2 linked regions of the Oreochromis niloticus genome follow. The protein of the gene in region 2 interacts with the protein of the main gene of each other region in a pairwise test. Links are inferred from orthologs where the notes say so. Each region holds a gene or a part of one and is shown on either strand. Other genes may lie near its edges.

Region 1 (7,197 bases), on a different chromosome or scaffold from region 2:
GTGTAACAGCGCCATCTGCAGGCTGCTGAGCTAAACATTCATTCTTTTTGTACGAATAAATTCAATTATTTATTGTTTTCTTGGTTAAAAAGTAGAATAATTTCTAATAATCCGATATGTTTTAAATGTGGACATGTAACATGTAAAGGAGTTACTAAAACTATTAATGAAATAGAGATATCAGGTCGATTCAAGAGAAAATACTCAAATGAACTACATCTCCTTGTTGTTTTATATTAGCTTATTTATTTTCTTTTAAAGAAAATTACTGAGCATAAAATGTATAGTGATAGTGTGCCAAATTGTTTGCTTTGTGTAATGCAGTCCTGCAAATGTGTGTTATATCTAAATAGGCTTATTTTTAAACGGACCATCACAGTGCACAAGCTACAATTGCCAAATGAGGAGTAACATCTTTTACTTTTTAACTACTAAACACCACAACATCAGACATTCAACTTTCCTGCAAAACCATGCACAGAAAATTAGACACTGTAATGTAAATTCAATTTGATTTATTTTGAATATTTACAAACTAAAAAGCATTTTATTTGCATTTCTCCACTGTGTTGTGGCCCTGCTGTCAGAGCTGGACTCCTCTCTCTTTAAAGAGTTCCTCCAGCTTCTTCTCCAGAGCTGAATTGGTTCCTTTCAGGCCTTTCACCACCTCAGAGGCCCACAGGAAATACTCCTGCACCCGCTCAGCTGTCCAACCTGCCAAACACATTCAGAAACATAACTGAACAACATTTGATATGTTGTCTTTTGCACTTCTGCCAAATAAATAAAGTGTTCCAAAGCATTTCATCCTCTTCATTTTGTATTTTTATTTATTTTTTTACACAGCATTCCATTTTGTAGCAAACAGCACTGTGTCCAGAGAAGTACTGACCAACAGGAGTGCAGCGGTTCAGATCCCTCAGGTTGTACAGTTTATCAGCCAGTTTAACCAGCTTGGCCTGTTGGCTGCAGTGAGGTGCGTGTTCCACCTGTAGACGCTTCCTCTCCTGCTTGGGCAGGCTCTTGTCATCCGTCACCTCCTGAACAATGCGAGCCACGGTTACCCCAAATTTAGCTTCCAGCTCTGCGGGGGTGGTGTCGGTGTCTTCTACTGTATCATGAAGCAGGGCGGCCTGCAGAGCGGGAGGAAGCACATGGGATTACTGATGTGAGAATGCGTGCACGTGACTGTGACTAACAGTTAACAACTGATAACTCACCTGCAAAACCTCGATGTCTGTGACGCCCCCTTCGTGGCTGAGGATTCTCGCCACTCCTTAAAAGCACACACAGAAAGTTGTGAGTAGCAGAGAGGACAGTAAACAAGAAGCTTCACTGTTTCCAGGCTGCTAAGAGAAGTCACTTATAGAACAAGAAAACTCATTTATAATCAGACATTTCCTCTCTGAAGAGCTCCTTCAGAACTTTAAGTTTCTACACAACATAGCTCATAGCTCTCATCTGTAAGTAGGAAAATAAAACTCACACAGAAGAAGTGGACGAACCACCAGAAACTTCCTTTACACACAGGGACAACAAGGAGGGAGCTTAATCACTGGCTGCCCATCTATGGCACTCCTGCCTAACACCAAAATAAACGAATCCACTGAACTGTAGTCTCAAAAGATATTTTGAAACAATCACTAGCTCCTCTTTTGCATAATAAAGCAGAATGTCTAACGAAATGTAAAAATACAAATTTGGGGGGGGAGAGGGTTAAAAAAACAAACAAAGACAATATAATAAGAATAGATACATGGAAAATTAGATGAGAGGGAAAATAATTCATGTTTTTCAGTATTATTTTTGGTGCATTTCTTTATCCTTTCAAAGCTTGTCCCTTTAAGTCCCCCACAGCTCTAGTGGTCTGGAGCCCTGACAGGAAAAGCACTGCCAAGTGCTATCATTAGCTCAGCAAAGAAAAACGGAGCAGTGGGTAGTGGGGGAGATATTAGGTTCGTTGCAATCTGCAGCCTCACCACTAGATGCCGCTAAATCCCCTGCACACAAAAAGCCATTAGTTTTGTACGCCTGAACAAAAAACCGGATCAATCGTCCTCCACCTCCAACGTGAGACTATACACTGTGTGCCGAGCACACAGCCGAAAAATAACGTATCGCTATTACACGGCAGGCTATTATCACCAGAATCAAAATAAAGGCACTCGTGTTAATTGAAATATAGTTTCTGCAAAACTATTTGTTGCCATAAAATGGTAAACACTAAATATTAGTGATATAGCTGCAGTATGCGAGTAAACCCTGATAACTTTACTGGTTAGTTCTGATCGTACCGCTCCTTTCGGCTACTCCCTCCTTCCACGGCTTCCGGTATCGTATCAGTTAAACATCAGAAACTTTTTTTTCTTTTTCTTTTAAAGATAAGAGTGAGAGACTTCACGGGTTTACGTACAGGCCGTGAATGCATCATACTACCGTAAAAACACACCTACCTATGGGGTGATTTATATACGGCGTTTCCTCTGGATCTTTACGTTTCTGGTTGCGGTGTTTCTCTGCGGCAAATTGGACAGTTTCTAACAATAAAGCTGCATCTGAGTTCATGGTGTAAAAATCACGTCCTGTCAGGTCAGTAACAGAAAAACCGCGTTGTTAGGTGAATTAATTTTCAACGTCTTTCGAGCAAAACTGTGGCGGTCCGTTCGTATTATGATCCGGGGGGAAACAACTGGTCGTGGGATCATTCCAGTTATTTAGCTACGGAAGCAGGTAGCTGCTAACATAAGATATAAGATAAAGTGTTATGTTTCAAAAGACATAAACGGTCAAATTTCTGGCATTAATTTTATATTTTTGGGGGAAATTTTTACACACTAGTGTCAGCGTATTCGATACTTTATATCTTCATTTATGTGATGAATGTGATTTTAGCTTTGAAGCTAAGCCAGCAGGGAGGATAATCACAGCACAGATCTCTGACTGTTCTATATGTTTCTGCTGGTTTTTGTATCTCCATTATTAAACATTATATTTGTATATGAGTTATTTATTTATTTTCTTTGTTTATGCCAGCCGTGGATGACTGAGTGTTGTCCGGCCTCCGTCGTGTGTCCAGCATGGCTCACAGTGCCAGGAGAGACTCCCCGGAGCTCCCCGACTTCTCCATCCTCAAGAGGCTGGCCAGAGATCAGCTCATCTACCTGCTGGAACAGGTAGGAGCAAGTCACAGCTTCTGCTGAAGACATGCTCATCAGTAATATGACTGGCATGTATAGCATGCATATGGCACTGTTCTTCTTTTTTGTTTTTTATTATTATACTTTATCATTTGACTGCACACCCATTCACGAGCAACACGTCTGTTGGTATCGCTCAGAGCACAGAGGACCTCACTGGCCACCACAGACTCATCAAACATCCTGAGCAGCGTCCGGTGGATGTTGAAGGACCTCAGTGATGTCAGAAAATAGAGACTCCTTTGGCCTTCTGTGCTTTTAATGAAGTCTACTGTATTTCTTGTTTGTTTTATAGAATTATAACTTGTGTTTATGGAGATAACAATAAACCGTTTGTCTGGCAGTGGCTTTTAAAAGTGCCCACCAGCTCATGGAGTGATTTCTGCTGCAGAATCATGTCTATTTCTAATGCAGTGCTGCTGGAAAGCCAAAGATTGCAGCCATTTGCTTGAGATTTTATGTTGAGAAATATTACTCCTATATGCTGAACTATACTGTCTTCACATGAAAATTGTCCCCACCAAACTACAGTTTACTTTTGCCATAGGAGTCAGTTTTACAGTTTAATTTTATTTAATTAGGCAAAAATGAACATTGTCAGAATCAGTGGAGAAAGTGTAGAAACTGTGTGCAGACTAAGCCATGCACGCATTAGTTTGTGATGTACTTCAGACTCGGTGAAGACAAAAAACAGGAACTACAACAAAACAAGGGATGCTTTTTGTGTTGTGAAGAGCAGATTGTCTTACAAGCCCCTTTCTTGTGTCACAGCTGCCCGGGAAGAAGGACCTCTTCATTGAGGCAGACTTGATGAGCCCGCTGGATCGTATTGCAAATGTATCAACACTAAAGGTGAACCGCATCAGCTGCTGCTCTCCTGCCTGTTCTGATAGGGCATCTCTTCAGGATTACTGCACTTTCAGCAGGTCTTTAAAAGCTTTTTGTCTCCCCCCTTTTTCTTTCAGCAACATGAAGTGGACAAACTGTACAAAGTGGAACACAAACCTGTTATCAGCACCTCAGATCAGTGAGCCTGCACCTTCATACCTTACAGAATTGTAACCACACACCTGACGTGCCCACCTGACAATGTGGCGTTGCTCTTTTTCCAGGCTCTGTTTCCTGATCCGACCAAGAATACAGACTGTCAAATGGATATGTGGTAAACGGAGATTCTTTTTATTTTTCTATCATCTCTTGTCTTGGTGGTTTTAATATGAAGTCTTCCAGTGAAAATGGATGAAAGCTGAAGCGAAGTGACATCTGCATTCTTTCTTGTTGCAGATGTGGTGAACGCAGACAAGGTACCTGGAAAATCCCGAAGATACAAGATCATCTTTACCCCTCAGAAGGTATTTCTCTTTCTTGTCTTGTGTCTGTGCTGTATTTGTAATGCCTCGCGTGCTTGATACTGACCTGCTGACCCTTCTTTGTGTTACCAGTTCTATGCGTGTGAGGCCGTGCTGGAGGAGCAGGGGATCTTTGGCGGTAGGCATCTTTCTCTTTTTGCAGGAATGATGAGTGTGAGTGAGGAGAAGTGTAAAAGCTGTTTTTGCCTTTCCTGTAGATGTCACCATAGATGAGTGGCCTTTCTACCTGCTTCCTCTTGATGATGACATCATCAGTCTGGAGCTGCCAGAATTCTTTCAAGACAACTTCCTGGTTAGTAGAGGCCAGTTGCTTGTATTGATCATTTGATCACTGATCATTTAAATCCTTTTCTAGTCAATGTTTTAGTCGTCATTTGTTAATGTGAAGAGGTTCTGTAGCAGTACACAGCTGTTTCCCCCAAATGATGAAAAGCAAAGAAAAGAAAATGAATATTGGCCTCGCATGCTCTTGTTGGATACACACATGACTTGTTGCTCTGCATCAGTGTTTGATTCAGTTTTAGTCTTTTGAATAAAACGTCATAATTTACATAATTTACATTTACAGAGCGTCTTATTTACCTTGACATCCAAACATGTTTTTGTGAGAAACACATGAGAGCTGCTGCTTGTCCAGATGTGACTTTCATTCCATTTACATTCCATCACACTTTTTGTCCTCGAGCTTCAGTTTTGAGTTTTTGTCGTTTCTTTCTTTAAATTCCTCATATCTGAAGCTGACAGCACAAAGGAAGTCTGGGTGTTGTAGTGTTAATAATCATAGTGCAACAAATCATCACATTTGAACTGTTCGTTGCTGGATTTATAAGCCCGTAGTTGAATCAGAAGTGTAACACAAAATCTCTGAGGGTGCAGATAAATCCTGTATTTTTCCAGGCCGGAGACCAGCGCTGGGTGAGGACCGCCGGCAGTGCCCTCCACCTCCTGTACTCCCTGTACGGCCCATTCTCAAAGGTCTACGGGATTGGGCGCTGCTCCAAGGTGCCGTAAGATTAGAAACCAGAAGCTAGTCGGATCAAACCAGTTTAACTTTTTCACATCCAGTTTGTCCGTCGCCTGCTTTGGGCTGTTGCTGATGGTAATCCTGTGTGATCCCAGATGGCGTACGAGTCATGGAGGGAGCAGGTCGAAGAGGGAGAACAAAAAGCTCGTCAGGCTGAAATTGGGAATGTTTTCCTTATTGACAGAGGTGAGGAGACGTGGTGATCTCAGAGGACGAGGGCCGCGCCGTTCCCGTTCTAATGTCGTCGTTATCATTGCAGATGTGGACTTTGTCACTCCTCTGTGCTCACAAGTTGTCTACGAAGGCCTCGTCGATGACATCTTTAGAATCAAATGTGGTAGGTGTCAGTAAATCAAATCCATTTACACGTTCACTTTATTGCCTCAGAGAAACACGTCACCTCTGACCTCTTGAGCAGAGCGTTTCGCCCTCACATTCTTAGCTCTTTTGAAGCCACGCCCTCCCCGGCTGGGGGATTTAAAAAAAAATATCCATATGTTGTCTGATCATTCCAACTACTGTGCAGGATGTGTGGAGTTTGGACCTGATGTTACCTCCTCTGACAAAAGTGTGAAAGTGATGCTGAACTCTCAGGATAAGGTAAGGCTCGTCTTAGTCTGCGGTCGGCTGCGCTTTACTAATTGTCGTGATTCTAATAGAAAAGTGTGTCTAATGTTTCGTAGGTGTTCAGTGAAATCAGAAATGAGCATTTCTCCAACGTCTTTGGTTTTCTCAGTCAGAAAGCCAGGAATCTGCAGACTGCATATGACGTGAGTGAATGTTGATACTGCTTAGCAATCATTGCACCTGTGGCTCGATTTAGAGAATCTTTGTACGACACAACCTTGAAAAATGGCATTTATATTTGCATTGGTGCGTTACGTGTTAATTACCTTGTGGTCGTGTTTTATGTGCGATGCCAGCCAATAGAAACAAATAAAATGCTCCTGCGTCTCCGCTCTCTGTTTAGGTCAGCAAACATTGATCTCGCTCCAGGAATTTGCTGGAGTGACGTTTGTGAGTCCTTATCTTGACGCTTTGACGCTATAATTGTTATTGTCTCAAAAACTACGACAAAAAAGTATCTGGAAATTGGCCAGAGGATCTGACGGTGCTGAACCCCTCGCAGTAGTCGTGGGCTGTGTTGATGCGACGTGTAGTTACATTTAGTTACATAGTTACATAGTGTCAGGTTACCCTGCAGCATTAGTGAGGATAATAGCTAACACCTTTTGTCTGGTTTTCTTTAATAACTATACAGAAACGTCGGGGGATGGACATAAAGCAGATGAAGGCGTTTGTGTCAGAGGAGCTGAAAGGGTTAAAGCAGGAACATCGACTGCTGAGCCTGCGTGAGTGTTACAGTATCGTGCCGCTGACTCTGAGTAATATCTGCACGGCTGCGTTGCTGAAGAGCGTTTTCTCTTCCAGACATTGGTGCCAGTGAGTCGATAATGAAGAAGAAAACAAAGCAGGACTTTCAGGAGCTGCTGAAGACAGAACACTGTAAGAATCCTCCGCTCTGCTCTTTGTTCCAATCACGTTTCATTTAAGGGACTTTTAACGCCTGAAAGCACAAAACAAGCTCCATGTTTGTTGGTTTCAT
Region 2 (8,361 bases):
GGGGCTGACTGGGTTTGTGACAACCCCAGAAAATTATTATAACAACATTAGATGACAATGAGCTACTTTTTAAATTCTATGATAGACCTTTAAACTATAACAACACAAATCTATAGTTTAATTAGAAGATGGTTAAATAGTTCTAAACATAAATCTGTAGCTCGGGGTCGTTTATTTTGTACAAGAACACACACAAAAAAAGTTCCACTAAAATCTAAGCCAACCTTGTAAACTCTGATACATCCCCCAGTAAATGCGCAGGCAGTTCTTCTCCTTCTTCATGCCCCTTTTACACCGGCAGTTGTACAGCGGGCTCTGTTTGAGCGCGTCAATCGCGCTCCGGCACTCGTCCTTGGCTTCCAGGCCGGCCACCATGCTGAAGTTGCTCTCCTTGCCGCCGGCCACGCACTGCCTCATCGTGCGGTATTTGGTGCTGCACGCCTGCTCCTTCAGACACTGCTCATTGGCCCGCACGCAGTCCAGCCGGGCACGCAGGTTCTCCTCCGCGTAAGACAACACATCTGAAAAATAAAAGTTTTATCCGTCGCGTGTTTTCTCACTTTCCCAGTAAACACTGGAAGCTTAAGCAATTTTCAAGCTGCTTTAGGGATTAAAATATTACACAAATATGAGCTTTTATTATGAACACGCCACATGTAGGTCGCCACAAAAGAGTACACGGGCTATTTTTTGGACCCACTATTTTGGAGCAGTTATGCACATAGTTGCCTAACTGGCACTTTCATTCAGCTGAAAGTAGAGTATAAACTGCTGTCACATTCACTGTTGTTTGTTGAGGCACTGACAGCTCATCAGAGTTTTTCTTTTTGGAGCAGTTTACTGCACAGTTGCGACCACACTGTACTGCGAGCAGCCGATGCGTCTGCCGGGCACCTCTTTATTAATAGAGCGCAGAATGTCGCTACTAAATATTTGATGAAACTCTATAATCAATTCGAAGCGAGCAGCTGCTGGTGCGAATCAACTTAAACTTACCTAAAACAGGAAGAAGAACATAAAACACAGCGAGGATCATCGTTTTCCTCTGCGTGGGAAACAAAAACCCTTGTTGGAAGGTAATTTCTTAAGTTAATGCAAATTAACAATAGTTAAATTCCCAGGGTACTTCCACTGTATTGAAATCCATTGAAAAGGTGCAGCACTGCGCGCTCCTCTGTATACAGGACAGATCCGGCTCGCCTCATGCGAGAGATAATTTCCCCTCCAAACAAAGTGTCCAGTCCCGATTTCTGCTCTTTCTTTGACTCAATGGAGAGAGAGAGAGAGAGAAAGAGAGAGAGAGAAAAGAAGCGCTTCTTTTTTATGTCCTTCCCGGGCGGGTTTGTCTTCTCACCGCGAGGAGACAAAGACAAGGGATGAGAGCAGCGGTGGAAGGCGAAAAAACCGGCGAGTGTCCTCCAACTCCAGCCAGTGGGATGCTTGCGTCTGTGCGTCTGAGCGCACACAGCCAACTGGAGTCCCACTGCTGTCTAGCGCATTCAGCAAGGAGGAGAGTGCCAGCTTCCCCCTCGCGCTAAAGTACAGTAATCTGATCATAAATTTACAATGATAGACCTTCCCATCAGAGCAAACTCGCCCCCTTTTTTACCACAATCTCAGCACAAAAAGTCAATCGTGAACTTTTAGCCCACTTAACTGAGTAATGAACCAAATAATGTAGAATATGCTTTAGCGTTATGATAATTTTATTTTTAATAAACTTTCCATGACAAGTACTATTAAAATGGCCACTTTTGGTGTATTTTAACTGCTGTTGCGTGCACGTAATTACATTTTTTTTTTTTTTTTTTTTTTTTTTGTAAAGGGGAACCTGCTCTAACAACCATTAATGTGAATGTGAATGTGTGTGTGTGGTGTGTGTGGGGGGGGGGACGGGGGGGCTCGGTTCACATTTGACTGTGCATAAGCTGCACTGATGGGGAGAGGGCAGAGAGCATGGCTCCTGTGTATGTTTATGACATGATTGATATAGCAACACGTGGAGATGCTTATATGGCAGGGGTGTTTTGTTTTTGTTTTTTTAGATGTGAAGCACCTTTTGAACCTGGAGCGAGAAGGTGGGACGGATGTATTTCAGCTGTTTAGTCAATACTCCACACATATCACGCATTTGTGACTCCTCCCAGCTTCATATCGTTTTCATATTATTTGCAAATACCAAGATTAAAAGAAAAAAAGTGTTATGCAACAGTAGTTACCAGCTGTGAAGACAGAGGACTGTTAGGTGTTTGCTCATGTCAGAGGTATGATATAATGTTTTTGATAGTTGACAGCAGCCTGACAGCGCTGCGCTGGGAAAAACCTGCCCTCAGTCTGACACAGAGGAGAGTGGACACTGGGACACTGTCGCCATCTGTTGGTGATTTGAAAGAAAAGTCACTGTGGTGCTTGTGGTGATGGACAGCTCAATTTATTGTCACATGTATAGAAAGGCAACAAACTGATTATTACAAAAACAGGGATGACTGAGCTGACTGTGAGATGACTGTGTACTGTATTTATTCTTATGTGTACTGTATTTATTCTTATTGTATTCTAATTTTTGCTTCATAACTTTTGCACTGTCCACTTCCTGCTGTGACAAAACAAATTTCCCACGTGTGGGAGTAATAAAGGTCATCTTCTCTTATCTTATCTCATGATACATCATGGCACTGCACTCTTCCTGTAACTCACTGATTGCCTCTATGGTATATTTAGGGGCTAATCCACTTGGATAAATACGTATGTCAAGGAGCCTCTCTCTGCATTAACGACTGAGGCTGAATCAATCACGCATCCTGCGCCCACAGCAGTAAATCAACTGCACGTGTATATATATTTAGAGAGGCATGGAGCAGGTTCATTCACAGATGGGCTGTGAAGCAGCTGATTTGAACGTCAGTGACTAATCCCTTATGGAAAATGAAGTCCTGGTTAGGTTGGTACAGGTCAATGCTGCAGGCTACATTGACATGACACAGCCCAGTGTCCATGGATATTATTAAAAAGAGAACATGACTGGAAAAGAGACAGAAAATGAGATGAACGGCAGGCTCAGTCCGCACTGTGGGATAATTGTCTGCTTACAATTTGATGACTTTGCTGTTCTAACATCTCCAAAGGGAAGCTTGCCAGTCAGGGGGGAGGCTCAGTCTGGTGATTTATGAAAAAAGCCCTAATCAATATTTGATATTAATTTTGTAAATGAATGTCAGAATGATGTAGCCCTCTGGTCGTTTAACTGTTTTGCACAGTAATGTGTTTTATGGCACCGGATCAGAGGCTTTTTCTTTTTTTTTTACTAGAAACCTGGTCAAAGTCTGGAATTGTGTGACAAATGTAGGCAGCAGGTGTAGATGGATTACTCTGAGAAAGCTGACTGCGCCGATACAGCACTTCATAACACTCAACAGTCAGGCTGAGTGGGGACTGATAAATGTCAATGTACTGCCGGTCACTATAGTTAGGCAGTACTTCTCTAATTTATATTACCAGCAGATACAGGACAAGGATGATGACTCTGAAGAAGGAAAACGTCAATTTAATTGCTGACTTGAAGATTTAACACAGGTTGAGTTGTGATTTATCTGATAAATCCATGAACTATCTACAGTTAACTGAGGCTTTATCCGGGACATAAATAATTCGCTGATTGATTGTGTTTTTCTTTTTTTTAAATTTTTATTTACTTAGTGAGGATAGGTTAATTGGTAACTCTAAATTTCCCATAGGTATGAATGCGGGAGTGAATGTAAGTGCGAATGGTTGTCTCTGTCTACGTGTTAGCCCTGCGACAGACTGGCGACCTATCCAGGGTGTATCCCGCCTCTCGCCCTAAGACAGCTGGAATAGGTTCCAGCCCCCCTGCGACCCTGAAAAAGGATAAGCAGAAGCGGATGGATGGATTTAATTTAAATTTCCCAGTTTTTATGTATGTAGATGGGCAGTTTTTGAGGGTCCTGCACAGTATCTTAGCTGCTCTTCTGGACGGAGATGTCGGATGTTGTTCCTTGGATCTGTTGGAGCCACTCGCCTAGCTTGGGGGTCACTGCACCTAGCACTCCAATTACCACTGCGACCACTGTTACCTTCACCCTCCACATCTTCTCGAGCTCTTCTCTGAGCCCTTGGTATTTCTCCAGCTTTTCATGTTCCTTCTTCCTGATGTTGCTATCATTCGGTATTGCTACATTTATAACTACAACCGTCTTCCTCTGCTTGTCCACCACCACAACTATGTTCAGTATGTTAGCTTTTACCAGTTTGTCCATCTGTATGATGATATTTGCGGGTGTTACATACTGTGCAGGGGCCTGTCCTTTCATGATGGTTCCTCCTCTTGGAGGAGCAAGAGGGAACCATCATGAAAGGACAGGCCCCTGCACAGTATGTAACACCGGCAAATAGAAGAAGTGACTGATATTGAGAAATCCTACCAAGGGCCGGACAAAGCTGAACTGAAAGACAGCACAGAGGCACTAATCATAGCAGCACTGGAACACGCTCTGAGTATAAGATCAATAGAGGCTGGAGTCTACAACACTACTACTTACTACTTACTTACTAGCTTTCTATAATCACTTCCACTTGCCTGAACTTGACCTAATGTCTCATAATGTGACTCACTGATTATGTGTGTGTGTGTATTAAAACCATTTCTTCTTCTCCTTCTTCTTCTTATTAGTAGTAGTAGCGGTATTTCTTCAGATTTTGTACTGCTATAATGGAGGAATTTTCCAAATATAGAATCTATAAAGTATAAGAGTATAAAGTATGAGATTGATTTATTTATTTTCAAAGGAACAGTCTTTATAATATTTAATGTCAATATCATGATATCAAACGTCAAATTTAATTTAAAATAATTGAATAAGCAAAACTAAAACCAAACATTTTAAGGACACAATAAAAGCAATGACTCCTGTCTGGAAACTACGACTACTAAAACTAAAGCTAAATATACTGAACTACAAATACAAATTAAAGTTAAACAAAAAAACAAAAAAAACTAATTAAAAAATGTTGCAACAATGTCACAATTATAAGCTACCTCAGTCATTCAGACTCTTTGTCCTGACAGAAATAAGCCTCCTTAGATTAGATGGTTTGCTAGCTAACTGTTTATTGACCCAGCTACTAAGCCAACATGAGTTTAGACACACTTTTTCAACAAATTCTTTTAACTGAGCAACAGTTAGCAGAACAGACACAAAAAATCAAGGATGGTAAGTTTTGTTTATTTCTGTCAATCTGTTTGTTTTTTGCTTAATTATCAATCTTCAGCTAGCAAATAAGCTAACAGCTAAACGCTAGTGAAAATGCTAAATATAGATCTATACAGGCTACTGTATTTTAATGTTTAATGTTGCATCATGTGTTGTTGTTGTTGTTTTTTTAATGTTCTTTAGTCAAAATAGCCATCATCAGATGCAATGAGAGGATAAAGAGTGTCACTGAACAGTATGGGAAGAGCAAAGAGGAACTTGATGAAAAGGTGAAACTGTTGCTAGTTGATGCTAACATGTGAATTACATATATTTTGTGACCAGAGCCAAAGCCATAGCACTGTGTTTAAGATGCTTACATTTATTAGATTTTAGATATAAACCATTTGGTTCTTCAAATAACCCTCTGTGTGAATGGTTGTCGTAGTTTACTGAGCTTTAAACAGATTCATCATATATAATGTCTTAAATGATCTTGAACGGTGTTTATTAAATATTTACACAGTAGCTGTAAAATCATGTCATAGGGTGATGGAAAGTGTTCACTTGTTGCACTGTATTTTAGAGTGAGCCCCTGTAAATAGGTCTGTTTCATGGTACTGTGATTTATTACATAACAGCTTTATGTTTACACAGCTCAGTGCTCATTTCAGAGGTGCCATATTATTTAATTTCTAATAAAAATTAGTAAAATGTTGTTCCTGGAATGTTTTACCTGGGATTAACATAACATCTGTATATATAACAAATATAATTAATATTTATTTTTTTGTGGTTTCCAAAAGGAAACAGGCCATTCTACTTATCACCACCATTACAAAACTAAAAAAATGCACACATTGTAAAATATAAATAGAAACTGATGAATTTTAAAAAAAATCAGACATTGAACTATCAAAGCAGCACAGTGCCATATTGATGAGCTGATCTAGTTTATAATTTAAACACTTAATCTCTACCTTCTTTTATCAATGATCAATAGCAAATGGCACTGTAAAATCAATGGCTTATTTCCCCAAATAACATTACTGAGACGTTTCGTGATATTATGCCCCATTACAGAAACAAGAAAAAAAAGAGGCTCTTTGCTCTTTTCACATATATTGCAAGGACGACACCATGCCCGACTGATCATTTGAAAACACATGGCAGTGGTATCTTTTTTTTGACTATTGAGACTGTTTACATCATGCAGATATGCAGGCTGTGTTTACTGCACAGTGTGTTTACAGCTCTCATGATGTAAGGTCTTATGGTTTATGAGAGCTGTCTTAAGATAATTACAGTGTTTATAGGACTTGGAAGCTGATTGTGCTCACGGAAACATGCTGCACTTCAGTATTACAGCAGAAGAAAAGCAAAGCTACTTTCTCCTCTTTAGCTCAAGAAACAGACTGAAAATTGCACCAAAAGTTATGCCCAAGGCAAGAATCTACCTTCCTACATAATCGCTCTTTCTTTATGTTTATATCGATTTAAAAAGAGAATTTTTGCTGAACTAGTTAAAGAAACAGGATGTTTTTGGTTACATTTTCAAAATAACTCCAGTTATTATGTCTGTTATGTCTGTCTCTAATAGTCGGTTATAGAGTATATACTGATTGTTCCAAACTAGGGCTACGTTCACACTGCAGGCGAAAGCGCATCAAATCCGACTTTTTGACCCTATGCGACTCATATCCGATCATGGTATGACAGTGTGAACAGCACAAATCCGATATTTTCAAATCCGATCTGGGTCACTTTTGTATGTGGTACTGAATCCGATACATATCTGATGTTTCAGAAAGCGACTGCTGTTTGAACGGTCATGTCCCATTAAATCCGTCTTTTACGTCACTGACACAAGACAGACGCCAATTATCAGCACCAGAGAACTGCCCGAGAAGACATCGTGAACGCTTCCTGGCCATCCCGTGTAGATGTTAGTGAAACTGTTGGGAAGACAACGTTGGAGAAACGTGAACATTTTATTTGTACTGTATAATCTGCAGATTCTGACAGAAATCTGTAACTATCCTTTGAAGCACCGCTCCTCTAAAACAGCAATAAGGATAATTATTGGGCCATGTGTAAATAACAAAATAACTTTATAACTTAAGCAAAATTGGGAAACGTAAAGTCCAAAACAAGTCTTTATATTAAGGGCCATCAGTCAAACAATACTGTTTGGTCTGGGTCTAAACAGAGCGCGTTGTGTGTGACGTCTTCTTTTGCGCATGCGGGCCGCTTTTAGGGTTCACACTAGAGCGTGTTTGCTGTCACATTTTATTTGTAGTATGAACAAGCAGACAAAAAAATCGGATTTGATCAAAAAATCAGAATTGAGCATTAAGACCTGCAGTGTGAACGTAGCCTAGAACTTTGATCTCATTTCACCCCGTCTGGTATCAGGTGATATCGCTCACATACGAAGCATCACCAATCCATCTCCCTCGCTGTACATCTGTCTGTCAGACTGTGTGTCTTGATCATCTCCTGTATTTATGCTTCAGGCTCAGCAGTTGTCTGCAATGAGGCTGCAGTATGACCTGGCAAAGAAATATGAGAACCAGATGTTAAAGCAAATTGAAGAGCTGCTCTGTCAGAAGAGCCACCTCAGGGAGCATCTAGTAGGTTGAAGCCTGGATCAATACTTACCTCTCAAATTAGACAGGTTGTATCCAATATGGATACCTCTTCAGCTTTAATAGTTTAAACTTCTTGATTGAATCACAGTACTATATGGAATGACCCGATCAATTAATCAGTGATTGCACAGATCAAAAAAGTGGTACCCTTCAGAGATGTTTGTATTTTCGTAGAAACTGAGTTTGACATTTTAGAATTGCTTGTTTAAAATTCCAGAGGTTTAAACTAGGTTATGTAAAAAGAGTGTAAACTCAGAGCTTCATTTTAGAAGCGGGTAATTTTTTTTCTCATTTAGGATTATCTTATTTTTTATACTATCCCCACTTTGCTGCTAAAGTAACAATAGCTATTGCAAGCCCTGTCACAACCCGTTTTCACGCAGCAGGTAAAATGCAGAATGCCACCAAAAAAGGTGGCATTCTGCATTCAACACATTAAGCTCTTAGAGCAAAGATTTTCTTTTTTTCCAAATGTTATCATAATTATATAGTAAAATTAAGTC

What was found.
Region 1: the proteins of coiled-coil domain-containing protein 172 (region 2) and hddc3 interact in binary tests that used the Homo sapiens proteins (3 or more experiments, as listed by UniProt). The two-hybrid records come from large-scale screens. The link is inferred for Oreochromis niloticus from reciprocal best matches to the Homo sapiens genes CCDC172 and HDDC3.

Annotation. Positions count from the first base shown.
Region 1 is NC_031965.2:1,541,647-1,548,843, forward strand, and holds hddc3 (guanosine-3',5'-bis(diphosphate) 3'-pyrophosphohydrolase MESH1), read right to left. Parts: upstream 2,688-7,197; 5' UTR 2,566-2,687; coding exon 2,454-2,565; intron 1,277-2,453; coding exon 1,221-1,276; intron 1,139-1,220; exon of another isoform or gene 1,134-1,138; coding exon 893-1,133; exon of another isoform or gene 847-892; intron 715-846; coding exon 584-714; 3' UTR 501-583; downstream 1-500. Other genes in the region: vps33b (vacuolar protein sorting-associated protein 33B), read left to right, coding at 3,078-3,173, 3,969-4,049, 4,163-4,224, 4,310-4,359, 4,482-4,549, 4,640-4,685, 4,765-4,859, 5,465-5,569 and 6 more. UniProt on the Homo sapiens protein: ppGpp hydrolyzing enzyme involved in starvation response.
Region 2 is NC_031978.2:4,575,861-4,584,221, reverse strand, and holds the start of coiled-coil domain-containing protein 172, read left to right. Parts: upstream 1-5,010; 5' UTR 5,011-5,149; coding exon 5,150-5,228; intron 5,229-5,411; coding exon 5,412-5,497; intron 5,498-7,723; coding exon 7,724-7,840; intron 7,841-8,361. Other genes in the region: gfra1a (GDNF family receptor alpha-1a), read right to left, coding at 225-521, 997-1,036.